Canis lupus familiaris: one gene and its partners. The protein of the gene in region 6 interacts with the protein of the main gene of each other region in a pairwise test. Links are inferred from orthologs where the notes say so. Each region holds a gene or a part of one and is shown on either strand. Other genes may lie near its edges. The genes, in order: METTL21A, PRR13, KXD1, NECAB2, MTMR9, LNX1 and CUTC.

Region 1 (4,123 bases), on a different chromosome or scaffold from region 6:
GGGGACCGCAGGAGTCACGGACACTGCCCACACAGCATAGCGTCCTGCTCCATCTGGCACCTTTAATTTCTTGCTGTTTGGTATATGAATTATATCTCAATAAACCTGTTATTAAAAATAATAATAATTGGGCAGCCCGGGTGGCTCAGCGGTTTAGTACCGCCTTCAGGCCAGGGCCTGATCCTGGAGTCCTGGAATCGAGTCCCACGTTGGGCTCCCTGCATGGAGCCCGCTTCTCCCTCTGCCTGTGTCTCTGCCCCTCTCATGAATAAATAAAAAAAATTAAACCATAAAATAAAATAAAATAAAATAAAATAAAATAAAATAAAATAAAATAAAACAAAATAAAATAAATAAAATAAAATAAAATAATAAAATAATAAAATAAAATAATAAAATATAAAATAAAATAAAATATAAAATAAAAATAAATAAAATAAAATAAATAAAATATAAAATAAATTAAATTAAATTAAAAAATAAAATAAAATAAAATAAAATAAATAAATAAAATAAAATAAAATAAAAATAATAAAATAAATAAAATAAAAGGCAGCCCGGATGGTTCAGTGGTTTAGCGCTGCCTCCAGCCCAGGGTGTGATCCTGGAGTCCCGGGATCGAGTCCCTGTGTGGAGCCTGCTTCTCCCTCTGCCTGTGTCTCTGCCACTCTCTCTCTGTCTCTCATGAATAAATAAATAAAATCATAAAAAAATAAAAATAAATAAAAATAATAAAATTATAATAAAGACCATTCTTACAATGAATTGTGGTTGTCTTCAGAGGCCCAGTGGCTGTACTTACCGCGTCCCAAACCACTGCTGCGACTCCCAGCTGCCTCCAGTCCTGCCGGATCTGGATCGTGTGGTTCGCAAAGGAGAAGGTGGCAAGAGGCTTGTGGAATTTCTGCAACCCCACTCCCGGGGTGTCCTCATAGGGCACCAGGGCCATTTCGCAGGCACTCAGCTCTCTGCACCCTCAAAGCTCTTGAGGCTCTGGCCAGGGGGAGAAAATAAAAAAAGCATTCTCTCTTAAGTAGCTCCAAATGCTTTTTAAGGCCATTTTTCACAAGTTCAAAAGAAGACAACAGAGGTGGGGGTGGGGGGGCTTGCTAAGTCCCTCGCGAGGCCCTTCCCCTTCTGGGAGGGGCGCCCGGTTCCGCAGCCCGGCCACGGAGTCGGCTCTGGGCCCACGACCCCGCGGGCGCACCGCGGCTGCAGGGGGCCCGGAGCGGCGGCCCAGGGCGGGGACGCGGGCACGCGCGGGAGCTCTAGCCGCGGGCCGCAGCTTGGGTCGCCCCCCGCCGGCTCTGAAGTCCCCCACAGCGACGGCCACGAGCCCGAACCTGCACTTGGACCGGGTGTTAACGGTTTGCGCGCAGCCCCGGGTCGCCCCGGCTGGAAGTGCGAGCCCCGAGCCCCGAGCCCCGAGCCCGCCCGTCCGCGACCCCCTCGCGCGGGCCCCAGAGCTCCGGGAACGGGGGGGTCCCCGGCCGCGCCCAGGCCGCCCCCCAGGCCCTGCGGGCACAGCGGCCGAGCCCGAGCTGGGCCCCCGGCCTCCACTCACCGCTCCGGAGCCGCCCCGCGCCGCGCGCCTCGCTCCGCCCGCCCCGAGCGCCTCCGGGCCGCAGACACGCTTCCGGCCCCGCCTGCAGGTGAGCTGGGCGCGCGCCCGAGGGGTCCGGCCCGCCTCCCTCCCTCCCTCCGCGGCCCGAGGTGTGCGAGCCCCGAGGCCGGGCCGGTCTCCGAGGGCGGGGAGGGCGGGAGGGCGGGAGGCAGGGAGGCCTCGGCCGGCTGGGGGCGCGCGCGGCTCGGGCTCTCCCCGGCCGGGGCCCCGCGGCTCCGCGCGCTTCTCTCGGGCTTTGCCGACGGGGAGCGTCCGCCCGGCCCGAGCGCGGAGGGTCGCCCGTCGCCCGCGGACCGAGTGGGCTCCGAGGAGTGCGCGGCCGCCCCTCCGTCCTCGCCTTGCCCCGTGCTGGGTCCTCGGCCCTCCGCGTCCGAGGCGCTGGCGTCGCCGCTTGGTGGCAACAGAGGAGAAGTGACAAAGCCCCTGTCGTCCAGAGCGCGAACTCGGAGTCCGCGCGCGACTGGCCCCGCGCCCCTCCTCCCCGGACCCGCGCCTCCTCATCCTCCCCGGACCCGCGTCCCCTCCTCCCGGGACCCCGGTCCCCCTCCTCCCCGGGCCCCGCTCTCCCCCTCCTCCCCGGGTCCCGGTCCCCCTCCTCCTCCCCGGGCCCCCTCCTCCCAGGGTCCCGCGTCCCCTCCTCCCCGGGTCCCGCTCCCCCTCCTCCTCCCCGGGCCCCCTCCTCCCCGGGCCCCGCTCTCCCCCTCCTCCCCAGGTCCCGGTCCCCCTCCTCCTCCCCGGTCCCCCTCCTCCCAGGGTCCCGCGTCCCCTCCTCCCCGGGTCCCGCTCCCCCTCCTCCTCCTCGGTCCCCCTCCTCCCCGGGTCCCGGTCCCCCTCCTCCCCGGGCTCCCTCCTCCCTGGTCCCCCTCCTCCCAGGGCCGGCGGTGGGCGCACCTGCCCCAGGGACCTCGGTGCCGGACGCGACAGTCACCGACCCAAGCTGCCTCCGTCCTCCCTTTCTTCCCGCTGTGCGCCACCCCCCCCCCCCCCCCGCCCCACCTGCCGCCGCTCGTCCCGGGGGTTTTCCGCGTCCCCGCGCCTGAGCAGGACCGCGGCGCCCGCCACCTGCCCCGCCTGGGCTCTGCCGCGGGGACGTCTCTACTGCTGCCGGGCGACCGAGCGTGGGCCCTTCCCGGTGCCTCCCGTGCGACCTGCTGCAGGAGCCTCAGGCCAAACCTAAACCGCCGCTCTCTGGCCTCCCCCCTCCTGCAGGGGGCCTGCGAGCCTCTCCCCACTTTTCTTTAACCTTCCAGCGGAAGGCCGGGCCGCAGAGGAGACTTGGAAGGGATCAGCAGTGAAGAAGGCCTTTGGCTAACTTTTTGTCTTTGCTCAGCTTGTTTATTTTAATTTTTAAGATTGTATGTAATAGGATTTATTTTTTAGTGCAGTTTTAAGTTCAGAGCAAAATTGTTGAGAAGAGACAGAGATTTCCCATACACTCCCTGCACCAGCACAGGCTTAGCCTCCCCCCCCCCATTATCAGCACCCCCCCCACCAGAGTGGCACATTTGTTACAATTGATGAACCTTCTTTGAACACAGCATTATCACCCAGAGACCATAGGTTATTTGGGGGGCTCATCCTTGGTCTTGAGCATTTTATTTATGAGTTTGGACAAATCTGTAATGGCAAATATCCACCATCATAGCGTCATATAGAGAAGTGTCATTTCCCTAAACATCCCCTGCGCTCCACCTGTGGATCTCCCTCCCTCTACCATAACCCCTGGCAACCGCTAATCTTTTTACGCAGTTCCTCTGGTCCATACCAAAGAGTGTGATTACTGAATTTTATGGTGAAAGTATGTTGAGTTTTATAAGAAACTACTAGACTCTCTTCCAAAGTGGCTGTACCATTTTGTGTTCCCACTAGTAATGAATGAGAGTTTCCGTTGCTCCATGTCCTTGTCAGTATTCGATGTTGTGTTTTGAATTTTAGCCACTCTGGTAGGTGTGTACTAGTTGTTTTAATTTGCAATTCCCTAGTGACATGTGATGTGGAACATCTTCATATGCTTGTTTGCCATCTGTGGATCTTCTTTAATGAAGTGCCTGTGGAGTCTTTGGCCTACTTTTTTGGTCCTATTTTATTTTCCAGCTTTATTGAGATATAATTGACATATTTAAGTTTAAGGTATAAAGTGTGATGATCTGATACGTGTATATACTGCAAAACCATTATTATAATAAGGTTAGTTAACACATCCATCATCTCACATAATTATTACTTTGTGCACGTGTGTAGTGAGAACATTTAAAATCCACTCTCTTAACAACTATTAAGTATAGGCTACAGTATTATTAACTATAATCACCATGCTGAATATTAGATTCCTAGAACTTACTCATCTTATAACTGTAAGTTGGTACCCTCTAACCAGCATCTCCTCATTCCCCTACCCCCTGCCCCTGGCAACCACCATTCTAACCTGTTTCTATGAATTTGGCTATTTTAAAAAATAGATCCCACATAGGGGCATCTCGGTGGCTCAGCCAGTTAAGC
Region 2 (4,108 bases), on a different chromosome or scaffold from region 6:
CCCCAATTTTTTTTTTTTTTTTTACAAATTCTTGTGAGTCTAAGGATTATTTCAAAATAAAAAAAAACAAAATAAAAAATATTTTAAAAATCTATCAAAGGGCTTAATTCAAGATGATAGACAGTATACAATTTATCTTCTTAATATTTTTTATATATCCCACAAATTTGGGATGTAGTATTTTCAGTATGGCTTAGTTCAAAGTATTTAATTTCCATCATGGTTTATTCTTTGACCCAGAGTTATTTGGAAGCCTTTTTGTTTTCTTAAATTTCCAGATGTATATTTGTATTTTACATTGTGACCAGAGAATGTGGTATGTAGTGTACAATTCTTTGAAATTTGATTTATATTAGTTGAGACCCAATTTTTTTCTTTAAGATTTTATTTATTCATGAGAGACACAGAGAGAGAGAGAGCGGCAGAGACACAGGCAGAGGGAGAAGCAGGCTCCATGCAGGGAGCCCGAAGTGGGACTCGAATCTAGGTCTCCAGGGTCAGGCCTCGCTGAGCCACCTGGGCTGCCCCTCAATTTTTTTTAATAAGTAGCCTAAGTATGCTTAGGAAGAATGAGTATTTTTAAGTTTGGGGTGCATGGTTTTTTATGTTAATTGTGATTTAAAAAAAAACATGAAGCCATTGCAGCAATCCAGTAGAGAGACGATGATAGGCTAGGAGCAGGGACCATGGAGAGAAGCGGAAAGAATTCAGATTTATTTGGGAGACAAAACGAGCTCTTCGCGGCGGCGGCGGCGGGACAAGGGACAAGCCATCAAAGATGACCTCCTTGGCTTCTGCCTTATGCAATTCGACGGATGGCGGAGCTATGCAAGTGAGCTAGGGAATTCTAAGGGGGATTAGGAAATCTCTGTATTTCCCCCAAGAATGTTTCTTTACTTCCCACAGGGGAGAGGAGGAAGGTGGCGAAACCGAGGCGTGGGGCTGAGACCCGGCAGCTCTCCGCCGTCTCTTAGGCGCTCTGCAAGGACCTTGGCACCGCCTCGGTCACCTCTCCAGGCGTCGCACCCACCGCCCGAGGAGCTCAAAGGGCCCCGGTGCAGAGTCCTCCGGGCCTCCCCGGGCCTCCGCCCACAAGCCGGCCCCGCCCCTCCGAGGCCCGCCTTGGCCCCGCCCCCGGCGCTTCCGGCCCGCCCACTCCTCTGCGCCCTCCGGGGCCGCGCTCCGCCCCCGGGGCCGCCGCCGGCCTCCAGCCCCGCCTGCCAGAGTGATTGACGGCTGTGTTCTCCAATCACGACGCGGACGGGCCAAGCGCTCGCCAACCAGGCGGGGGCGGGGGCGGGGGCGGGGGCGGGGGCGGGCGCTGAAGCCCAGGTCGGGGAGCGGGGGGCGGGGGCCAGGAAGTGAGAGCCGAGGATGAGTCCCGCCCGGGAGGTGGTGTAAAGGTGACTGGGCGTCTGGGTTCCCCAGTTTCCTCCTTTCCTCGTCCCCAGGTCAGGGATCCTTGGCAGCCGGGAGCCAGGCTCTCCACTTGCCCTGTGGGCTGTGGAAGGGGGGTGTGTCTCCGTAAGACAGCGGTGGAGGCTCTTCCCTGGACGCCTTCTCCGGCTCCTTCCCGTGGCCTGGGGTGAGGGTCCTGCCTCCCTCCGCCTGCCCGGGCTGAGGGCGGTGAAGTTGTTTAAGATCCTTCCGTAGCGGTGGGTGAGGAAAGTCTTCCGGGCTCAGCCCCGGCAGGGGAGGGGGGGAGCGGACCCGGAGGTCGCGGAGGGGGGAAGGAGGGGAGGGAGGAGCGGACCCCGAGGTCGCGGAGGGGGTAGGGGAAGGGGGAGGAGGGGAGGGGAAGGGGGGAGGAGGGGAGGGAGGAGCGGACCCCGAGGTCGCGGAGGGGGTAGGGGAAGGGGGAGGAGGGGAGCGGACCCCTAGGTCGCGGAGGAGGGGAGGATGGGAGGGGAAGGGGCGAAGAGGGGAGGGGAGGGGAGGGGAGAGCGGGCCCAGAGGTCGCGGAGGGGGGGAGGAGAGGAGGGGAGGGGAGGGGGGAGCGGGGTCGGAGGTCGCGGGGGGGGGGGAGGGGGGGAGGGAGGAGCGGACCCCGAGGTCGCGGAGGGGGTAGGGGAAGGGGGGGAGGGGAGCGGACCCCGAGGTCGCGGAGGAGGGGAGGATGGGAGGGGAAGGGGCGAAGAGGGGAGGGGAGGGGAGGGGAGAGCGGGCCCGGAGGTCGCGGACGTGGGCGCTGTCCCGCGGAGCCCGAGGTGGTGGAAGGTGGAGGCGCGGGGAGGGCGCCCCGGGCCTGGGGGCAGCAGGAAGCAGGTGCTGAGCGCAGGGACGGTGGGGAAGGAAGCCTGCGGAGGTCGAGGCGGTTCCGCGAGTCCGGGAGGCGCTGCTCCGGGCTGGGTCTCTAACCCCCCTTCCCCCCCCCCCCGCCCCCCCCCCCCCCCCAGCACCATCAGCTTTTCGCCTTGGTTTCTTCCTCCTCAGGCTGCAGGGAGGCCCCGAACATGTGGAATCCCAATGCCGGTAGGTGCTCGGGGGCTCGGCCGCAACCGCTTTTCAGAGGAGCCGGGCACGGGGAGTTTCTGTCGCTTTCTCCGCCCCCCTCGCGCACAGAAGCGGTCCTCGCTCCTCCTCGGCTGACCCTGCGCTCGTCGGTCCCGAGTCACCGTCTCCCTCCCTCCCCACCCCTGCCGCCGCCCTCGCCTTCCCTCTGCCCACCGGCTTTGCCTCCCCGCCGCCCCACCTGCTCCCCCGCCTTTGCATTTCCCTGTAAGTAGTGAGTGAGAAACGGAACCCCCTTCTTTTTGCCCCTGTTTATCGTCAGAGGCTCTGAGCTCTTGGAATCCTAACTTATTCTTTGCTTCTTCCACCAGGACAGCCAGGGCCTCATCCATATCCCCCTAACATCGCGTACCCTGGAGGTGCCAATCCTGCCCATCCGCCACCTGTGAATCCCGCCTACCCCCCGGGCCCCTATCCAACTCCCCCAGGGGCTCCCCAGGGGAATCCAGCTTTTCCCCCTGGTGGGCCCCCTTATCCTGCGCCACAACCAGGGTACCCCGGATGCCAACCCACGGGTCCCTACCCACCTCCCTACCCACCACCTGTTCCTGGCACGCCTCTTGTGAATCCCTTGCCACCTGGCATGGGGGGACCGGGAATGGTGATGGACAAGAAGATGCGGAAGAAAATGAAGAAAGCTCATAAAAAGACGCACAAACACCACAAGCATGGCAAGGTCAGTGCCCCCTGGAGCTTGGCTAGGAAGGGGTGCCCACCACAGAGGCATGGGGGGATTTGCAGTCTGAGGACATGAAGCAGCCATTGTGTGGCTCTGGTCGACGGTTCTTCTTTGTAAAGTATTTCCACTGGTAAGAATCTGGTAATCTTGAAATACTAGGCAAATCGGGCCTTCTATCGAGGAGAGGCTAAGCTGAGCCATAGAATACAGAACAGAATCCAAAGCCCTTCCTGTCTCTGTCTCCCAGAACTTTTGCTCCACCCCCATCCCCAGACGCTTGGTTTAGCAAGTCAGACACCCCCACCTTCAGTGTTCTGGAGGTGCTGTGTTAATTATCACAGGGGCCTTTTTGTCCTACCACCCAGCAGGACTCTCAGTGACTCAGCCTCAAACAAAACCTAAATTTCATGCTCAGCCCCAGAGATGCTAGCCCTCAGCTAGTATCTTCATTCTAGAAGAGCGTTAACTAACAAGTAGCTCTCAGGACAACCCTGGAAGGACCGAACCAAGTAGCTCTCAGGACAACCCTGGAAGGACCGAACCCACCTGGATCTTCCTGGATCTTGAGGAGGCCTTAATTTACATTTTAGTGCCCAGTGTTTATTTGCCTTAGGGCTTTGGGCACTACCCCTTTCCGGATCTTTGGTAGGAATTGCAGGAGAAGGAAAGATATGAGGTTGAATGGGGGTAGAAATTGCCCTGCAGAGATGAAAAAATGTGTTTGGTGACAGTTGTTGGGGGTGTGCAAGTAAAGAACCTTGACTAGTACTCTCCCCTCCTTCCTCACTTTCTCCCATTTGGGGCTTAGGAAAAAGTAAAGGTAGACAGGCACACAGAGGCTGTTTCTTTTTTTTTTTTTTTTTTTTAATTTATTTATGATAGTCACAGAGAGAGAGAGAGAGGCAGAGACACAGGCAG
Region 3 (3,074 bases), on a different chromosome or scaffold from region 6:
GTCCTTGATGCTGGGCCTAGCTGGGCCCTCTACCTGCCATGCCCTTCTTATGTCTGCCCTCCTCTGTCCAGATAACCTTCCAGGAGGCTTCCTCACTCCATCCTCAGCAGTCACTCCCCTGAGTGACTTGTTCCAGTTGGTCCCCCATCACTGGGATGAGAGTGTCTGTGTTAGGAGTGATTATCCATTCCAGACACCACGTACCTTGCACATATTAAAATGTTGTTCACAGAGAAATGCCTGCTTCATTTCTAACCAGCTGTTTGTCCTTTTCTCCCCGCAAAGTAATAAAGTCATGTTTAAAAAGAATGATAAAGGGATCTTTGGGGTGGAGTCTCATCCTTGACCGTGGCCAACCAGTCCCCACCAGAAGTACTACCATTGCTGGGTCCCTACCCACAGGGCAACTGGGCAGAAATAACTTTCTTCTTCCCGGGCGATACAGATATGCACAAAGGGTGCCAATACTTGGGGTTCCAGCTCACCCCCAACACCACGCCTGGGCAACCAGCCCAATGAGACGCCCCAGAAAATATGTGCTTTTCTAAATTTAATTGGCCCATCGCATGATTTCTGCTCTGCCAGTGGGTGTGGCTGCCCCCAGGGCCGAGGAAGTGACTCCATCAGTAGGGGAACTGTGGGTGCAGCTCTGGCTCACTCCAGGCCCAGGCATGTGGCCACAGTCATTAACAGTGGCACTGATGCAGGCTCTTGAGTGCTGCCTCGAGCATTCTGTGTTTCGTCACAGAAAACAGCTCAGAAGGGACCCACAAAAAACTGGCAATTTCTTACACCTCTTGAGAGAAGACCTGAATTGGGGGCTGGAGGGACCAGAGGCTTGCCTTCCCCTGGCTGCACTTGCCTGCCTTTTGCATTAGGCAAAAGATAAATGAAACTTAAATTCAGAAACTTCAAGATTTTTTATCCCAAAGTTCAGAACTTCTCAGATTCTAAGTGAGCGCTAAAGCCTCATAAAGCAAAGGAGCTAAATCTCCTTCATTGCTCTGTTATAGGGAGTGGATGGTCTTCATTGAACAGGGGAGGAACTTGAGGTTCGGAGGGGGAGGCAGAAGCTGGAGGGGCTGAGGACCCACCTGATCCTGCGGAAGATGCTGTCCAGGTCTCGCTTCATCTCCACCAGGGTCCTTGTGTGGTGCAGGAAGCGCTCGCTCATTTGCTGCAGGCGGGCACTTGACAGGTTGTTGAAATTCAGCAGCATCTCGTTGGTCTTCTCAAAGCGGTCCAGCCTGGCAGCAGTGAGAAAGCACCAGCCCTACACACAATGCTCTACAAACTTGCCATGCCCCACAAACTAATCATGCTAAGCCCTTTCCTGCTTCATGATCTTTACATGTATTATTCCCTTGCCCTACAAAACTCTACCTGCTGTTTGAGCCATCTAGCAAACTCCTGTTCAACCTTCAAAACCCTACCCAAAAGGCACCTAGGTGGCTCAGTTGGTTAAGCGGCTGCCTTTGGCTCAAGTCACGATCCCTGGGTCCTAGGATCGAGCCCCACATCAGGCTCCCTGCTTGATGAGCAACCTACTTCTCCCTCTCCACCACTTGTGCTCTCTTGTGTGCACTCTCTCAAATACATAAATAAAATCTTTAAAAAACAAAAACTAAGGGGGATCCCTGGGTGGCTCAGTGGTTTAGTGCCTACCTTTAGCCCAGGGCATGATCCTGGAGTCCTGGGGTCGCGTCCCACATCAGGCTCCCTGCATGGAGCCTGCTTCTCCCTCTGCCTGTGTCTCTGCCTCTCTCTCTCTCTCTGTGTCTCTCATGAATAAATAAATAAAATCTTTAAAAAACAAACAAACAGATAAAAACAAACAAACAAAAACCCCTAAAATCCTACCCAGTACATACTTCTCACATAGCCTTTCCTCCCTCTCAAGCAGACTCTGACTCCTTGGACTTCCTAGACCCAAGTTATTCCTCTGGCCCAGCCCTGATACCATGGGGCCAGGAAGGTCTGTGTCTGGTTTTGTCTTCCCTGACTGTGGGAGTTCATCAGGCCAGGCCTAAATCTGACCCAGACAAACCCAGCACTCTTGTCACAGGATGAGAGAAGTGGAAGGGTATCAGGTCTGTATTGTGTCATAAGTGGAAGGAAGAGACTTTGTCTTAAATACACAAAAATAAAGCCACAGGAGTCTGTGTTTCCACCCTAAGATTGTGTAAGCCTTTCTTCCCCACAGAGCAGGCTGGAATTAGGGTGAGGCTGTGGTGGTCACATGCCAAGCCCCAAGGAGGGCAAAGGGTGTTGACGGCCCCCCCAAAAGACCATGAGTACTCTGCAGAGACAGCCTAGGCTCTGAGGGACCAGATTCCTAATGGGAGATCAGTTCACTGGCTTCCTCAGATCCCCTCCTGCAGCTCCTTCCTATCCCCCACTCCCCACTCCAGGTCTTGGGATAGGAGCTGCTGCGGCCCCTGCCAAGCCATCCGCAGCTGCAAAACCATCCCAAAGCCCTGCTTCCTGTGCCAAGGCCTCGCCTCCAGGCCAGGAAGGAATTTACTTTGGAGCCAGCCGGCAAATTTGCTCATTTCCTTCATTTTATCACCAGTGTGGGCCCAGGGTAGGGGTGGGCAGGGCAAGAATGCTGGCCAGCAAGTGGATTCCTTCCCACGCCCGGGGCCCACAGCTCTTGGCCACCACTCACATGTTCTTCTGAGCCAGGATGATAGCATTGACGTCATCTGTGTTCACCATGCTCAGGATGCGGCTGCAGAAGACCCTCGAGGCCGAGTCCGGGGGGTCCATCTCTTCTTCCTCCTCCGCTGCCTGAAACAAGCAGGAAGAGTCTTCAGTCTATACCAGCCACTGGGGTAGGTGGGATGGAAGGAGGGTCTCAGAACCCCGGGCCCCATGACCATAAGTTGGTCACACCACCTGAGCCACAGCTTTGTCATCCTAAGAATTCAGGGGTGTTGGGAGGACATATCTGCAAATTGCACCCAAGTACATCAGAATTCCATCACCCACCCACCTCTGCGGCCCCAACTCTCCATAGGCCCAAGGCCATGGCCACTTCTACCTGCACAGATCTGTCAGTCTCTTCCCACATC
Region 4 (3,500 bases), on a different chromosome or scaffold from region 6:
GGCTTAGGCATCGATCATGGTGGAGGAGAAATCTGTGAAAGCTGCGTGTTCATTCCTTTGAAAATAACTTGTCTTTTTGGAATTCAGCTAAGCAGTTACACTCGTGGATCTTTGCAACCTCAGCCACTGGTCTGGCTGCTTCTAATACACTTACTTCAACTCATTTTTCTGCCCGCTGGCTTTTAGCAGGCTTTCTCTTTGCATTTAAATTTCTTACCAGACCATAGCTTCTTGTTCTTGTTGGCCATTCATTTGTCCAGGGCCCATTGATCCCTGGATTGACTACGGTTTCAGCCGTTTGCTAGGGAGGATAATCAGTAATTGAAATGCATTAGGTGACCAGAACCTCATCTACCTTCTGCCACAGATTCACTGTGTGTTGGGGCCTGTCTCCAGCGTTGGCATGGGACATCCCCCTCACACATCTCCCTGTGTGTGTGCCTGCTTCTCCCACCCCTACCTCTGTTTCCCTCTCTGTCTCTGGTGGTGGTTCCTTTGTACACTCATTGCTAATTAATTCCCAGTCAGAGTGATGGATGGCTTAATTTGCTTTCCTTGAAAGCCCGGTTTTCCCTGGCCTTGCCAGAGCCTGGGCAGCTGGCTCGGGAGGGTGGGGTCTTGGCAGAGGAGGTGGGAGAGCTGCACAGGGTTTTGGGGTCCAGCATCCCCAACACAGTGCCATTGGATCCTTACCGTCCTTGTGTGGCCTGGCCAAGTCAGAACCTTCTCAGTGCCCCTGAAAGCCTTCCGAAGCCAAGGGAATCTCAGCTGGATCCTAAAGCCTTGAGAAATGTCTTTGTCGCAGACTCTTGACAGAAGGGGAGATTCTCACAACACAGAGCGAGGTCTGTGGAAACTCTCTTCCTCCTTCTTTCCCCCACAGTTTCTCTCCTCGTGGCCTCTGAATCTCCTCTCTCAGTCCATCCCAGGTTCTCCACTGACTCCCTCCTTCTGAGACCAAGTCTCCGGCATTCTCTGGAGAGGAGCCAGTTGAACCTCTCTGGTTGCTTTTGAGTCTTTCATTTCTCTGAGTTGCATCATGAAGGGTCAGGAGCCCAAGGGATCCTTCTTGGAGGAAGGAGGGGAACAGGGTTGTGTCATACTTCATCCCTGTCAACAAGAACATCAGGAACATCACCACCAATGAGCTTGCTTATCACCACCACCCCCACCAGCATCGTCTTCACCACCACATCACTGTCCTCATCACTGCCATCATCACTGTTGTCATCTTCATCACCATCACTATCCTTACTATCACTGCCACTATCATCACCATCATCGTCACTGCCATCATCTTCATCACGACCACAACTTCATCACCATCACTGCCACTATCATCATCACCACTGCCATCACCACCATCACCATAATTATCGGTGTCATTGTCTTCATTGTCACCATCATAGTCATTGTCATCACCTTCATAACCACCACAACCATTATCATCATCTGCTGTTGTCATGTTCATCCCCACCATCCTCCTCATCACCATCAATCGTCATCATCATCATCACTAGTATCAACATGGATGGTGACATCATCCATATCATCATCATTGTCGTCATCTTTATCATAGCAGTTACAATTCATTATTTGCTATGACAGGTACTACGTTGGGCATTTTATTTTTTTAAGATTTATTTATTTATTTGACACAGCATGAGCAACAGGGAGGAGCAAGGGGAGAGGGAGAAGCAGACTCCCCACTAAACAGCCCGAGGCGGGACTTGATCTCAGGACACATGATCTCAGATCATGACCTGAGCCAAAGGCAGATGCTTCACTGACTGAGCCCCCTAGGTACCCCACATTGAGCATTTTCTCTACGTTTTGTCATCCAGTCATCTGTGTGACCTTGTAAGATAGACACTAGAGTGACTCCTCTCATGGTCGCAGAGGTCAGGAGCTAGTATGTGGTGAAGCCAGGGCTCCAGCCTCCATCTCTTAATCCATAGCCCCCACCCTGGTGCAGGAGCCCTACAGTGTCCAAGATGCAAGAGGTGCCGGGGTCCCTGTTTCATCCTGTGAGGCAGAGACACCGACCCCAAGTGCACACCCAGCTCTATGCCAGACCCCACACCTAAATCCTTTCTCTGACCCCTTTCCCAACTGGGCCCTTCCCTTCCCTCCCCTCCACAGGTGTACGAGGGCGGGAGCCACGTGGACCAGTTTGTGACACGCTTTCTTCTGAAGGAGACGGCCAATCAGATCCAGTCGCTGCTGAGCTCTGTGGAGAGTGCAGTGGAGGCCATTGAAGAGCAGACCAGCCAGATCCGGTGCGTCACTGGGACCACAGTGTCACCTGGGGACATGTCACATATGCACACAGCAGCCTGCTTCCAGGGACCATTTGTGTGCTTGGGGGCTGGGGACCTTGGGCAAGGGGCTACACCTCTCTGTGCCTCTTTGTCCCCAGCTCTGAAGTGGGGACCATTATACACCTACCTCTTCAGTGACTGTGGGTTGAATGAGACGGCATATGTGCAGAATGATGCCGGGTGTGTGTGCATAACCTGCGTGCACCGTGTACACACGTCGAGTTAAGACTGTTCCCTAGACTCATCAATTGTACCACTCACGTTATTGTTTGCCTAAGACTATTCTATTATTTGCCTTATTTTTGAAAGCTGGAAATCAGTTTAGGAAGCTACGTGGTTACCACAAGTGGAGAGGTTTCCATGTGCCATAAATGAAGTAGCTATAAAACCAAGCACCTGTGGTTGCAGACAGTCGCAGAAGCCCGGGGCCTGGCCTCCCTCCATCTGTTAGGAGGAGAGACTGGGGAAGCCAAGAGAGGCCTGGAAGAAAGAGTAGCACCAAATCCTGACTCTCTCTGCAGGATTGAAGAGAAGCAAAGTGAATTAAGTGACCGAGGGCCTTGTTTGTGTGTCAAAGCCAAGGAAAAGCATGTGTGTTGGGAAGGCCAGCCTGGGGTCCAGAGAGGAGCAGTTCTCCCTCCAGGCCAGCCCCTGGTCCCCCTCACTTTTGCTCTGTCCCAAGTTGAGACAAACCCCTCTCTGCCCTTCTTTCCAGAACAGCCAGTGCATCTGGTGCAGAGGGGACACAAAGAGGTAGAGATAGACAGGAACAAGAGCCAGGCGTCTACACTGCTGGGCCCGGTGTGCCATTCCCAGATGGGGGCTCGGTGGGGCCAGGGTGAGGGTGGTTGATGTGTCGGGGTTTGAGCAGGTGATTCTTGGCTGCTGAGGGCTGGTCCCAACCAGATAGGATTGCAAAGGCTGTTCAGTGATGCTGTTCCCAAGATTTGTTTGGAGCATCTGTGGGCAAATCATGTGGGAAATGGGAAATGCAGATCCCTGGCCTCGGCCATGCCTGCAGGTTGGGAGTCCCTGGGAGCCGAGCCCAGAACTCCACATTCGCGCTCAGCCTTGTGATTCTGAGGGTCCCCAAGGTGAACAGCCACCGCTCTGGAGGCTGACACAGAGATTTCCTGCGTTTTTTGGTCACTATCTTGATTAAAAAGTTCATGTGTTCCT
Region 5 (3,500 bases), on a different chromosome or scaffold from region 6:
GGGATCCAGTGAAAGCAGTGCTCAGATGGAAACTTATAGCAGTAAAAACCTACATTAAAAAAGAACGAAGATCTCACATCGGTGACTTTTAAATCAGTAATTTCATACCTTAAAGAACTGGAAAAAGAAGGGCAAACTAAACCAGTGCTAGCAGAAAGAAGGAAAGAATAAGAGTAGAGAGTAGACAGACGAAATAGAGAATAGACAGAGTGTCAATGAAATCAAAAGGTGGTTCCAGGAAAAAACCAACAAAACTGTCCCTTTAGCTGAAATGACAAAGGAAAAAAGAGAAGAGGAAGCCTTTTGACTGTACCCAACTGAGATTACCAGTTAAGCACCTTTGAGGATCATTCTGATAGGAATCTTCTTAATTAAACCTATAAACTCGATGGTGTCTGGACTATAAAGTGAGACTGTCCCTCTGGACCTGAGGACAGTGTGACAGATAAACTTTGGAGCAAAAGAAGGAAGACCTGTATTATAACCCCACTATTGGTGACCAACTGGCTGTGTGTCCCTGGTCAAGTCATTTAACTTTTCTAGATACTCTCCTCCCAATCTATAAAACTGGATAGAGGATGGAGTTGGATTATATGTTAAGGCTTCTTCCAGATGTAAGATTGCCATGATCTTATACAAGAAAATTAACATTGAATGGTTGCCCAATTTACTCAAAGCTTTTAAATCAGTGTATGGACTAATTTTAATCTAATAGAAAAAAGTCTAGGACATGCTCTCACCTAGGATGGGATAGGCTCATATAACACATTTCATATTATTTAACTTATACTAGCTGTAACCTCTACCATCTTATCAATAACATTAATGTAGAAACCAAATCCTGGTCTCTTTTAGGAAGTGACCAAAACAAAATACAAACGGAATGGCCCCCATCCCATGTAAGCAGTGTACCCACCTTTCACTTTCATTGTTGCCCAGAAATGTTCCAAACTGTGAGGCATATGCATGCTCAAAGAGCATGATGAGGAAATTCTCATTAAATTCAAAAGAACAAGGAAATTGACGAAGTATCTGCCACACACAGTCCAAGAAGAGAAGAAATACAGGTGACTCCCACTTCTGCTTACTATTACAATAGGCTGACTGTGCACAGCGCTGCTGGAACGGGTGACCAGCCTAAGACAGAAGATGGAAATGTGACAGTCATGGCCTAGTGAGAGCACATTACAGCACATTCTATTACCATTATTTCACACAGTTGCAACAAAACTCTTATTGAAGGAACACCATATAATTTGGATGGCTGCTGTTTAATCATTTCAATTGATTTTAATTAATAAATTTAAACAATTTTCAGTAACTAAGGAAAAAAACCATGACTTCCAAATATTTAACAAGGCTGTGCAGTTAAGGCATAACCATAAGAACTGCAATTATGCTAGGTGAATTCTATAAAGTAAAATTTTCTAGGTCTGTAATTTCTAGCAAAGTCAAAGAATATATGGTCTTCAGGGACCACACAAAAGACAGCTACCACCTTTTCTCTATCCAAAGTGTGGTAGATTGTTGTAAACTATGTAAGCCTCACCCATAAATGGAAATAAATATGGGTTTCTCACACACAAACTTTATAAAGTCACTCCTGATACTGAATACTTAATTACATGTGAAAAAAAATTCTTTAGGAATACTTTTGTATTAGAGATAAAATTGTCCCTACTTCCCTCTTCTCTCAAAAAAAGAACTGGAAGAGTCTGACCTCTACTGACTAAAGTAAATTTAAGAATCATTTGGCTCTTTGGCTCACCCAGAACCTGAGTATTGACCTTAACCCAAATCATACCCTTCTAGGTATTTCACACACTTGCTTTTATCTTTAGATCCTTATACTACCTTACCTGACAAAGAAAATGTCATGAACATTTTCCACTAGCTAATGGTGTTTTGATACCCATTGGAATGGTAATATATAAGTATGTAAATCACATTCCCCTATTTGTTTGCTATGCATCATGAATGTCGCTGAAGAGATTTTTACCAAATATTTGGGATGGTCTCACTTGAACAGAGATACAGGTCAGTTGTGAGGCAGGTGAATATGGTATACGTAAGAGCATTAACACATAATAAATCTAAATTTTAACTACAAGGGCCAGAAATGATTTTTCTCCAGAGATGCTTCTACTTTTAAGATCTATCTAAACATTTGTTCTTAATCACATTTACTAAATTACATAGTGTATATACATTTATAAGTTAATCTCTGACTTAAAGGATTTCAATCTATTTCATGAAGCCTTTATTTCAGTTGTCATTCAGCATTACGTGATTGCACTGTGCTGTGTCCTAGGGATAAAAGAGAAACAGGACATGGTTCCCTGACCTCAAAGGAATCACTTAATTTGGATGTAGTTTCAGGACTAAGGCATGAAGACAATGGATCGATTTTATCTGTGATGAAGGTTAAGGTCCCAAGACTGCATGAGAGCAGCGACATTTAGTTGTATCTTAAAGCATAAGAAGGATTTCACCTGGTGAGGCAAGAGGATAAGGTGAAGCCAGACAAGCAACAGGCAGAAAGTGCTAGAGCACATGCCTTATAATTACAAGTCCTCACACCCCCTTCCTGGTTTTGATGTTTTTTTTCCTCTCTAGCAGAGACTGTTTCACATTTTTTGTTATTTCCCCTATAGGTAACAAAGTATAACTAATAAGAGTTTGTTAAGGGAATGAAATACCAAGTGAGCAATACAAGCAGAGAGGCACAAAAATTGAGATGCAGTGAGGATATATAAACATTTACTGAGAGGATTAACTGCTCCCAGAAAATTAAACATACAGGTTAAACATTTTAATCAATCAAAATTTCACAAATTCTATCCATTCCTGCAAACTGGGATCACATCAATTATTAGCAGTTTCTGTGCATACGAAGTAGATTTTCTCACCTGCAGCCACTCTCTTTCTATCAGGGCCTCAAAACCACGGATGGTCCTGCTTCTCGGTTCCAAGATGATCTGGGCCAGGGAGGTAACCTGAAGTGTGGAATCAGTTCCTTCTGTTCCATGAATCAATATGGATGCCCCTTCCCTGATAGGAAAATCCAGAGTACAAAATGGGATACTCCTAACATGATCAGTCAACTCTATTAATAACATTTATTAAGTACAGTATTTCAAACTCATGCATTCTGCTCTGTCCAGTAGGGTTTAGAGGAAAAATAAGGCACATGTAGAGTTTCTCTTAGGGAAAAAACCCTAACATACACTTAAAAGTTATTTTTCTCTATCTTTCTGATGCTGATTCTACCTTTCTACCATCAGCTGACTATATAAGGATGCCTTCATTACTTGTAATGTAATGGATCTAGGAAACAATAGCTAAACCACACTTTCTGAAACATGAAAACAAGAAGAAACATAAAACTGTCAATCTAGGAAGTCAGTGGCAATGGTACTACTATATCATGATACTTAGGAGGAGTCTGGGACTCCATTATTCTAAAAACAGTTGAAGGAAACCCCAAAAACTAAATTAAG
Region 6 (3,500 bases):
TTGTGCCTCATTAATTATCTGCAGGGCTGATGCCCCATGGGGCTTTCTGGTTTTAATTACTCTGGCTAAGCAGGCCCAGCCGGAAGGCTCAGCCCCTAGCGGGAGTCACTGCTTTGCAAGAAAACCATCTCGCAGCAGCCCCACACTCTGCGCAGGGTCTGCAGGACCGGGGCCCCACAGGAGAGAGACAGCCTTCTTGAACTTCTGTGGTTGGGTCGGATTTCTTGTACTTGCAGCCAATTGATAGAGGAGGCTCAGAGTGAGATTTTAAGAGGTCTTCCTGCAGGACACAATCATCATTTTTTTTTTTTTCTGCCTCTCCAGGGATGGATGAAGGCTCGCGTGCACAGACAAGCCTCACCACTTGTATCCAAGCACAGGTGAGCTTAAAGCCCTTGCTCCGCTCTGTCATGTATCCTGTGTCTCGTTTCCCCCATCACACCCAGGCCGGGGTCATCTGCAGGACAGTCCTGGCAGCCCTTGGCCTGCAAGGGCCACCTGAAGGCCCTAAGAATCAGAATGTCTTATGTGACCCTCCCGGGCAGAACAACTCCCTCCCTCTGGAGGGAAGCCACGTAGAGTCCACTGACTGCACTGTGGACTGTCTCTAGAGGTTGACGGGCCCGGCCTTGTGCTTTACCCCAGAGACCAGGGGGAGGTTTGATCGCTGCTTTAAATGCTTTCTTATTCCAAATAATAATAATAATAATAATAATAATAATAATAATAATAATTTTTTTTTTGGCAGAGAAATAGCTCACGCTGTATCAGGAGCTGGCCCCTGAACGGGATGAAACTCTTCTCTGGGTATCAGACAGGGAGTCTACAGCCAGGGAGGGATTCCTTGTCACTCTCGCCGCACGTCCGACCTCTGTGTGATGAACAACTCTCCCTTTGTCCTTTCTGCTCAAGAGTCTTCCCTAGCATCCTTCCTCTCACCCAAGCCCCTGAGCACAGCAAGGCCCAGGGTGTGTTGTTCCACCTCCTGCCCGCCCTGGAAGGTCAGTGCCTTGGTGGGAATAGCTTAGCCTCACCTTTTGGGTTTTCTCATGGAGGGCCATTAAGCTACAGGAAGTTTCCCACAAGGGGGGTGTGTGAAAGGGAGTGACCAGATCCAAGATGACATGTTCCATTAACCTGCTCTAAAAACAATACGAGAAGACAAATAGATGCTCCAGTTTCATATTCTTTTATGTTATGGTTACTTCAAGTGGGAGGAGGGGTTGGGAAGGAGACAGGAAGAGAAGGAGGTAGAGAAAGGGAAGCAGGGACAGGAGCTGGAGGGGAGACGAGGAAGGAGGGGAAGACAGAGACAGAAATACTCTTACCCAGAAAGAGGCAGAGGCTATAAGGACAAGACAGAAGGGGCAAAGACCTATCTCCATTAAATGACAACTCTCAGGGAAAGAGCCCTATCGGCGTGACAACCCTAGAAAGTGACCGCTTCCCATCCATCTGGCATTTCCTCCATCCATCCGCTGACTTGCTCCGAAGGGATTTTAGCAAGCCCCCTCTTCCCGGCCCCACCACGACTGCGGCCTACCTTCAGGATGATGTCTCCTGGCAGCAGCCGGCCGTCCCTGGCAATCACCCCGTCGCGGTAAATGTGCTGGATGATGATGTGGACCAGTGGGGTTTCGCTGCCTCCCACGAGCCTAATGGAGAGGCTTTCGTTGGGATCCACTCGATTGATCTTGACGCTTGTAATTTCACCATCTGGAATCAGGTGATACAACCTTGGAAAGACTAAAATGGACAAAGACAGTATTTATTTAAGACACCCACCCGGCAGACATTTCCAAGCCCTCCTCTTCTTGCCAAACCTTGGTGTCAGCCAAACTAAACTATTCATCGTTCCTCATACATGTTTTCCATTTTCCTGCCTCCTTGCCAGCATCGGTTTCTCTGCCTGGAATGTTTTTCATTCTAGGCCTAGACCCAATTTTTCCTTCAAGACTCGCATGAAATGATCCCTTTCAATTAAGCTCTACCTTGGTCCCTCTTGCCCTGCTCTGTCCAAACATCCCATTCCGCCCCCCACCCCCCACCCCAAAAGCTTGTATTTCTCCCCAGCACTGAGCCCTCTGTTGTCATTCATGCTCATTTCATTCATCCTCCCCCGGGACCCTAAGATCTCTGAGGACACTGTTTGCAGCTGTCCTGTGGCTGTGTGTACAGATCACGAGCGCAGGCCAGAGCCTCCTGAGGGTGGAGGGGTGCATGAGGACGAAGGGTCACTAAGGGAGAGACCACAGGCTCAGCGCCTCCCTGTCGAGGGACAGAACAGACCAAACCAGCTTTTCTGCTTTCTCAGGCCATTTTGAAGATTTCTCCCCGGCAGTCCCTGCTCTTCAGGCTCAGGGCACTCCCAGGCCTCCCTCCCAGACATTGCTGTCAATAAAGGGAAGTCAGCCAGCCCGATCCCTGACCAAGGAGAGGTGGTGGCATCTGGAGGCTCATCCCTGCTCTGGCGGGATTGCTGAACTCAGAGCTAACAGGAGATGCAGAGAGCTCAGACTTTACCTTTGAATGGAAGACTCTTCTTTCCCCATGAAATCCTTCCCGGGTCCCTTCAACACCAGCCTCCACCGCACCCCACCCCAACCCGACCCCACCACTGGGCCCACATGCAGAAGAGCTTCCTTAGTCGTCTGGTTTAACAGCAACAGACACCATAGTGCGGCTTTATTCTGCATGTGAGGGCGTTTGAGCTGAGAGTGGGGAAGTGACCTGGTCTGCTGGAGGCTGCAATGTAAGGTGGCCGTCAGAGCCAGTCACACCCTAGGGCTCCAGGTGACCTGCCGTCCTGTCACCTCCCTGGGGTTTTGGAACAACCAGGGATTCACAAGGGTCCCACGGGGGACTCGCCGGAGAGACCCATAAGCCAGCACTGTCTGCACAGAAGTGTGCAGAAGGGGCACCGTGGGATGCCAGGCAGGCTGCACCTGGTTTGGTGGCGCCGGCGGCTCCTCCCTGGTTGCTGAGTTTGGATGCGGTGGGCGGGATGCTTTTGTCTCCTCTAGCTGCCGACAGCTGCCTCTGCCCTAAGATTCTCTCTTCATTAAGTCAGCTGGGAAGGGGGGAAACAGCAGGTCTGGCTCTGCATAATGAGCCCTGTTTTCAAAACCCATGACCTTAGTCCATTTTCCCTAATGAACTATGAGTTCATTAAGAAGTGCTCAACTCTCCAGGAACAATACAGAAAGAATTAAAATGACTTCAAAGTACCGTAGGACATGATCAACAAAGCAATTTAGCAGCCAGAGGAAGCCTGAGACGTTGCAAATGCGCGTCCTTAACCTCCGCTGGGATGTAATTTAATGTAAGATTGGCTTTGCTGGCAGGCTGTGGGCAGCGGCCTTAATCCGTCAGTTCCTGGTGCTAACAGTACTTGGGTGATTGCTTTCAATTAATGTTTAAACTACTTTGATTACATTAAGTAGGCGTTACCATAAGCATTTGTTGGAACAGGTCTGGTGACAGGCAATGGCGATTTAAAA
Region 7 (4,260 bases), on a different chromosome or scaffold from region 6:
AAGTTATCACTGATAAATATATTATTTCCTCTATATACCTCCAGTTTCCCCTCAGTTCCCATCTCTGCTCTTGCTTATGCCATCTCCTCAACCCACAATGTCCTGCCAGCTCCATCTTTGAATGGTAAAATTTTCCAAGGCTCACATTAAATCATATTTCCATATCTCCTCTCTCCCAAAGTAGGAATCTCCTTCTTTTGAATTCATGTAACTTTTCATAAATTATATGTTCTTCTTTAAAACATTAGTTTTAGTATTTTTTTAGTTTTTAGTTTTTTTTTTTTTTTTTAAGATTCTGTATATTCATGAAAGACACAGAGAAAGAGGCAGAGACACAGGCAGAGGGAGAAGCAGGCTCCCCACAGGGAGCCCGATGCAGGACTTAATCCTGGCATTCCAAGATCAGCCCTGAGCCAAAGGCAGACCGCTGAGCCACCCAGATGTCCCTAATTGTTTCTTTTTAAAACACTAATTACTTTCTATTTCTTCTTATTATGTATGTAGATAATGTCTGTTCACTTTTATTTGACCTAAAGTTCCTAAGTAAGGTCTCTTTCTATGAGAAATCTTTATTATCACCCATAGCAAGCACAGGGTCTACCTTGGGACAGAATAGTCATACAAAGATTTACTAAAGGCTGAGAGTAATTACAAATTCACAAATTTCATTCATGTATTGACTCTAAAAGTATGATGAAAATAACGTTTTGAGCTTTTCTGTAAATTAAGCACATAAGTGTTTTTTTTTTTACAATTAAGAATATTAAATGTATACTTCATGCAATAATACCTGAAAGAATTACCACATACTGATAATAGTTAACTACTAGGTGATAGGATCTGAAATTACTTTTACCTTCCTCTTTCTTTCGTTTTTCTTTTTTCTTTCTTTTCTCTCTTTCTCTTTCTTTCTTTCTTTCTTCTTCCTTCCTTCCTTCTCTTTCTCTCTCTCTCTCTCTTTTTTTTTTTTTTTAAGAAGGCTCTACTTAATCCCCAGCGTGGAACCCAGAGTGGAGCCCAAGGTATAAGGGCACTGAGATCAAGAGTCCCGTGCTTCATGGACTGAGCCACCCAGGTACGCCTCCCCCTTTTACTTTTCTATGTTGCTTTTCTCTATCCAATACTGCTTTTATCATTTTTAAAAAGGCTATTTTTGATTTGAATAACAAACACCTATCATTTGCTTACATCAAATTACAACTGTCTCACTTATTTAAAAGAAGATTTTCAGTCTCAAACTGTGAAAGAGTTAAGTGCCACTCTATGTTCGTAGCCAGCAGCACTCTATTCACTCCGAGTTTCTGCAGAGCCGCCCACACCAGCTGTCACGTCAATCCAACTGGACAGTGCTGCAGAGGTGCCATTTGCCTCACGGGAGAAAGCACCAGGAGAGGGGGGCGGTGCACACACAGAGCACACAAGGCTATCACAGAAGGCAGAGCAAGACAGTTGTCCGGGAAGCCAGGTTATTTGTAGGAATCAGACATTTGTTCGGAGCAGTTCTCAGTGTGGTAGTTCCGTTAGCTCCCGGGGCCTTTAAGACCTTTCCAGGGTCTGTGCAGTGAGAAGTATTTTCATAATAATACTAAGGCTTCATTTGCCTTGTTCACTCTCCTTCTCTCACGGGTGGAGTGGAATTTTCAAGAGGCTACCTGACACATCAGATCGAATGCAGAAGCAGGTATAACAATTCTATTAATCCAGATCTTAAAGGGATTTGCAAAACTATAAAAAGCTGGCATTCTATTTGTTTAGGAAGATAGTTATTTTTCACACACACACACACACACACACGTTAGTTGTGTTAATACGTAATGGGTTTCTAGCTAATAAGTATTTTTAAATTTCTGTTTTAACTTCGAATACGGTCAACACCGATAGATAAAGCCGATATAAACAAACGGTAGCTGAGGTTCTCGATAGGAAAGGGGAGGGGCCCTGAGACCAAAAAGCTTGAGAACCACTGGTCTGGAGGACTCAGGAGTTCTCGGGGCGGTGGAGGGGGGTGGGGGTGGGGGTGGGGGTGGGGGTGGGGGTGGGGGTGGGGGGGATGTAGCACCCGCCACGCCGTCCCGCCTGGCACAGCAAGCAGCAAGCTCTCGGGACTTGGGGCAGCTGTGCAGCTTGGGGACAGCCCTCACCCCCGGCGCAGCAGCTACAGGTTCCCAAGCGGTCGCCGGGGGACGGCACAGTGCTCAGCGCTCGGCATCTAACTGCTCCAGAGATGCCACGGGGCGGGGACTGGCGGCCTCGCGTGGCGATGCGGACGTAAGGCCGGGAGAAGTTAACCAACTTGAACACCGTCGCACACTAGACGCGGTGGCGCCGGGATTCGAACCCACACGTCGCGTCACTCTCGCTACAAGCTCCTCCTCAGGCCCTCAGCTTCCACACGCTTAGTCAGGAAGGCAGAACGGGCCCGCGCGCGGGGGGCGGGGCGTGAGGGGCTGGGCCGAGCACTCCCACAGAATCAATCGCCACGACCCCGCTTGCCAGAACCCCCGCAGGCCCGCCCCCGACGGCCAAATCGGCCGACCGCCCCCTCCCGCCCCCTCCCGCCCCCTCCCGCCCCCTTCCGCACCGGCCTTCCCGGACGGTATACGCGCCCGTTTCCGCTCCGAGGGGGCCCCCTGCCTCTTCATGCTCCACGCGTTCCTTCCTCGTGCGTCTTCGGTTTCTACGAGGATGCCGGGGTCCGGCGCGCGCGAGCAAAGAAGCGCGGCCTCACGGCTGCGCGCACCCCTGCGCGTCCCCGACACCCGGACCCAGCAGCCCCCGCGGAAGCTGAGTCGCTGGCGCAGGCGCAGTCACTACTTGCCCTTGCCCTCTGAGGAGGAGGGGCCCGTGCGGCATAACCCGGAAGTGCTTCTCCGTTCGGTGGTGGAGGAGGGAGCCCGCCGAGAGCTGGGCGGTGGAGGTGGCTTATTTCTGCGCCGTCTTCAGGATGCAGCGGTTGCTCTTTCCGCCCCTGAAAGCCTTCGTGGGGAGCCCGTGTCTCCGGCTCCTGGTTCCTAGGGCGGCGCCTAGAGCACAGGTACTGCACCGCAGTGGACTTAGTCGCGGAATAGGACATGGGGCGAAAGAGTCAGGAGAAAAATAATAGATAACCCCACATCACATTGCAGTAGTTCCTTAGAATTCACGACGGATTTCTTTGTGCCCAGAGCCTCTGAGGTAGGATCCGAACCTGCCGTATACTGGCTGCGTGATATTGGCCAAGTTAAGAAACCTTTCTGTACCTTAGTCTTCATCTGTAAAATGGGAATAGCAGTACCTACTTCAGAAGTTGTGTTGAGGATTAAATAATCTCATATACAGCAAGCGTCTGGCACATGATAAAAGTTCAGTCATTTTTACCTACGTATTTGATTTTTGCTAAAAGCCTGCAGGTAGTCGGGTAAGGCACCATAACCTGATTCTACAGAGAAGGAAATTGAGGCTTAAGTTGTTTAAAGTTAGGAAACAAAGCACGAATCTTTAGACTCAGGGACAGAGCCAGAAGAGAACTTGTATTCGCTCAGCAAATAATTACTGAGTGGTTATTGTGTGTTAGGAACTGGGAAGGAAAAGATAAATACCAAAAGGCTCCTGCCCTGGAGGAAGGCACAGTTAATTCATTTGTCAAATCTCTATTAAGGTGTTGTTATGTAAGCGAACTGTGTTAGGAACGAAAGTGCCCAGAGAGAAAGAGCCAGACTGACCAGACACTGCTGTCCCACAACTCATAGCTTTGTGAGGGATGGAGACAGATGAACCTGAAGTACGTTGTAATGTGTGAAGGGCTGACATGGGGAAGGTACGGTGTGCTGTGGGAGTGACCTGTTGCAGACCCGGGAGAGTCTAGAAATATTTCCCAGAGGAGGTGACATCTAAACAGATCTATAGTAGAAATTCTCAATCAGGGGCAAGGAGCATCCCAGTCAGAGAGAAAGAAAATAATCCATATCTAGGTGTAGAGTTAAGTCTGGGGGAAGTATGCAGAGACTAGAAGGTTCATGTAGCGTGGGGATGGATTGGAGTGAGGCAAAACTAGAGACAGGAAAACCAGTTGTGGGGTGGATGCAGTAATCCCGATGGGAGATGATGGTCTACTAGGGCAGAAGCAGTGGAGATGTGGCCGTACGGGGTACTCCACTCTAGGCACAGTGGGATTGTGTGTGAGAGCAGTGGACTGAGGCCTTTCCATGCGGCTCCAGTTATAATTTGTCTGTCTTGATCCTTAGTGTGGTTGCAGCTGTGGGATCAGGCGCCCCTTGAGGC

The links.
Region 1: the proteins of LNX1 (region 6) and METTL21A interact in binary tests that used the Homo sapiens proteins (3 or more experiments, as listed by UniProt). The link is inferred for Canis lupus familiaris from reciprocal best matches to the Homo sapiens genes LNX1 and METTL21A.
Region 2: the proteins of LNX1 (region 6) and PRR13 interact in binary tests that used the Homo sapiens proteins (3 or more experiments, as listed by UniProt). The two-hybrid records come from large-scale screens. The link is inferred for Canis lupus familiaris from reciprocal best matches to the Homo sapiens genes LNX1 and PRR13.
Region 3: the proteins of LNX1 (region 6) and KXD1 interact in a two-hybrid assay, tested with the Homo sapiens proteins (2 studies listed by BioGRID and IntAct). The two-hybrid records come from large-scale screens. The link is inferred for Canis lupus familiaris from reciprocal best matches to the Homo sapiens genes LNX1 and KXD1.
Region 4: the proteins of LNX1 (region 6) and NECAB2 interact in binary tests that used the Homo sapiens proteins (3 or more experiments, as listed by UniProt). The link is inferred for Canis lupus familiaris from reciprocal best matches to the Homo sapiens genes LNX1 and NECAB2.
Region 5: the proteins of LNX1 (region 6) and MTMR9 interact in binary tests that used the Homo sapiens proteins (3 or more experiments, as listed by UniProt). The link is inferred for Canis lupus familiaris from reciprocal best matches to the Homo sapiens genes LNX1 and MTMR9.
Region 7: the proteins of LNX1 (region 6) and CUTC interact in a two-hybrid assay, tested with the Homo sapiens proteins (3 studies listed by BioGRID and IntAct). The link is inferred for Canis lupus familiaris from reciprocal best matches to the Homo sapiens genes LNX1 and CUTC.

What each region holds. Positions count from the first base shown.
Region 1 is NC_049258.1:15,864,235-15,868,357, forward strand, and holds the start of METTL21A (protein N-lysine methyltransferase METTL21A), read right to left. Parts: upstream 2,801-4,123; 5' UTR 2,516-2,800; intron 1,653-2,515; exon of another isoform or gene 1,565-1,652; intron 1,414-1,564; exon of another isoform or gene 1,344-1,413; intron 994-1,343; 5' UTR 950-993; coding exon 803-949; intron 1-802. UniProt on the Homo sapiens protein: Protein-lysine methyltransferase that selectively trimethylates residues in heat shock protein 70 (HSP70) family members. Contributes to the in vivo trimethylation of Lys residues in HSPA1 and HSPA8.
Region 2 is NC_049248.1:44,879,484-44,883,591, forward strand, and holds the start of PRR13 (proline-rich protein 13), read left to right. Parts: upstream 1-1,308; 5' UTR 1,309-1,403; exon of another isoform or gene 1,404-1,659; intron 1,660-2,405; exon of another isoform or gene 2,406-2,433; 5' UTR 2,434-2,453; coding exon 2,454-2,472; intron 2,473-2,822; coding exon 2,823-3,187; intron 3,188-4,108. UniProt on the Homo sapiens protein: Negatively regulates TSP1 expression at the level of transcription. This down-regulation was shown to reduce taxane-induced apoptosis.
Region 3 is NC_049241.1:44,892,169-44,895,242, forward strand, and holds part of KXD1 (kxDL motif-containing protein 1), read right to left. Parts: intron 2,791-3,074; 5' UTR 2,770-2,790; coding exon 2,669-2,769; intron 1,248-2,668; coding exon 1,095-1,247; intron 1-1,094.
Region 4 is NC_049226.1:68,820,894-68,824,393, reverse strand, and holds part of NECAB2 (N-terminal EF-hand calcium-binding protein 2), read left to right. Parts: exon of another isoform or gene 1-301; intron 302-693; exon of another isoform or gene 694-2,142; coding exon 2,143-2,279; exon of another isoform or gene 2,280-3,500. UniProt on the Homo sapiens protein: May act as a signaling scaffold protein that senses intracellular calcium.
Region 5 is NC_049246.1:26,746,151-26,749,650, forward strand, and holds part of MTMR9 (myotubularin-related protein 9), read right to left. Parts: intron 3,052-3,500; coding exon 2,910-3,051; intron 1,138-2,909; coding exon 917-1,137; intron 1-916. UniProt on the Homo sapiens protein: Acts as an adapter for myotubularin-related phosphatases. Increases lipid phosphatase MTMR6 catalytic activity, specifically towards phosphatidylinositol 3,5-bisphosphate and MTMR6 binding affinity for phosphorylated phosphatidylinositols.
Region 6 is NC_049234.1:46,800,672-46,804,171, forward strand, and holds part of LNX1 (E3 ubiquitin-protein ligase LNX), read right to left. Parts: intron 1,747-3,500; coding exon 1,544-1,746; intron 1-1,543.
Region 7 is NC_049249.1:12,809,896-12,814,155, reverse strand, and holds the start of CUTC (copper homeostasis protein cutC homolog), read right to left. Parts: upstream 2,801-4,260; 5' UTR 2,643-2,800; coding exon 2,582-2,642; intron 2,482-2,581; exon of another isoform or gene 2,142-2,481; intron 1,682-2,141; exon of another isoform or gene 1,427-1,681; intron 1-1,426. Other genes in the region: cytochrome c oxidase assembly protein COX15 homolog, read left to right, coding at 2,945-3,034, 4,224-4,260. UniProt on the Homo sapiens protein: May play a role in copper homeostasis. Can bind one Cu(1+) per subunit.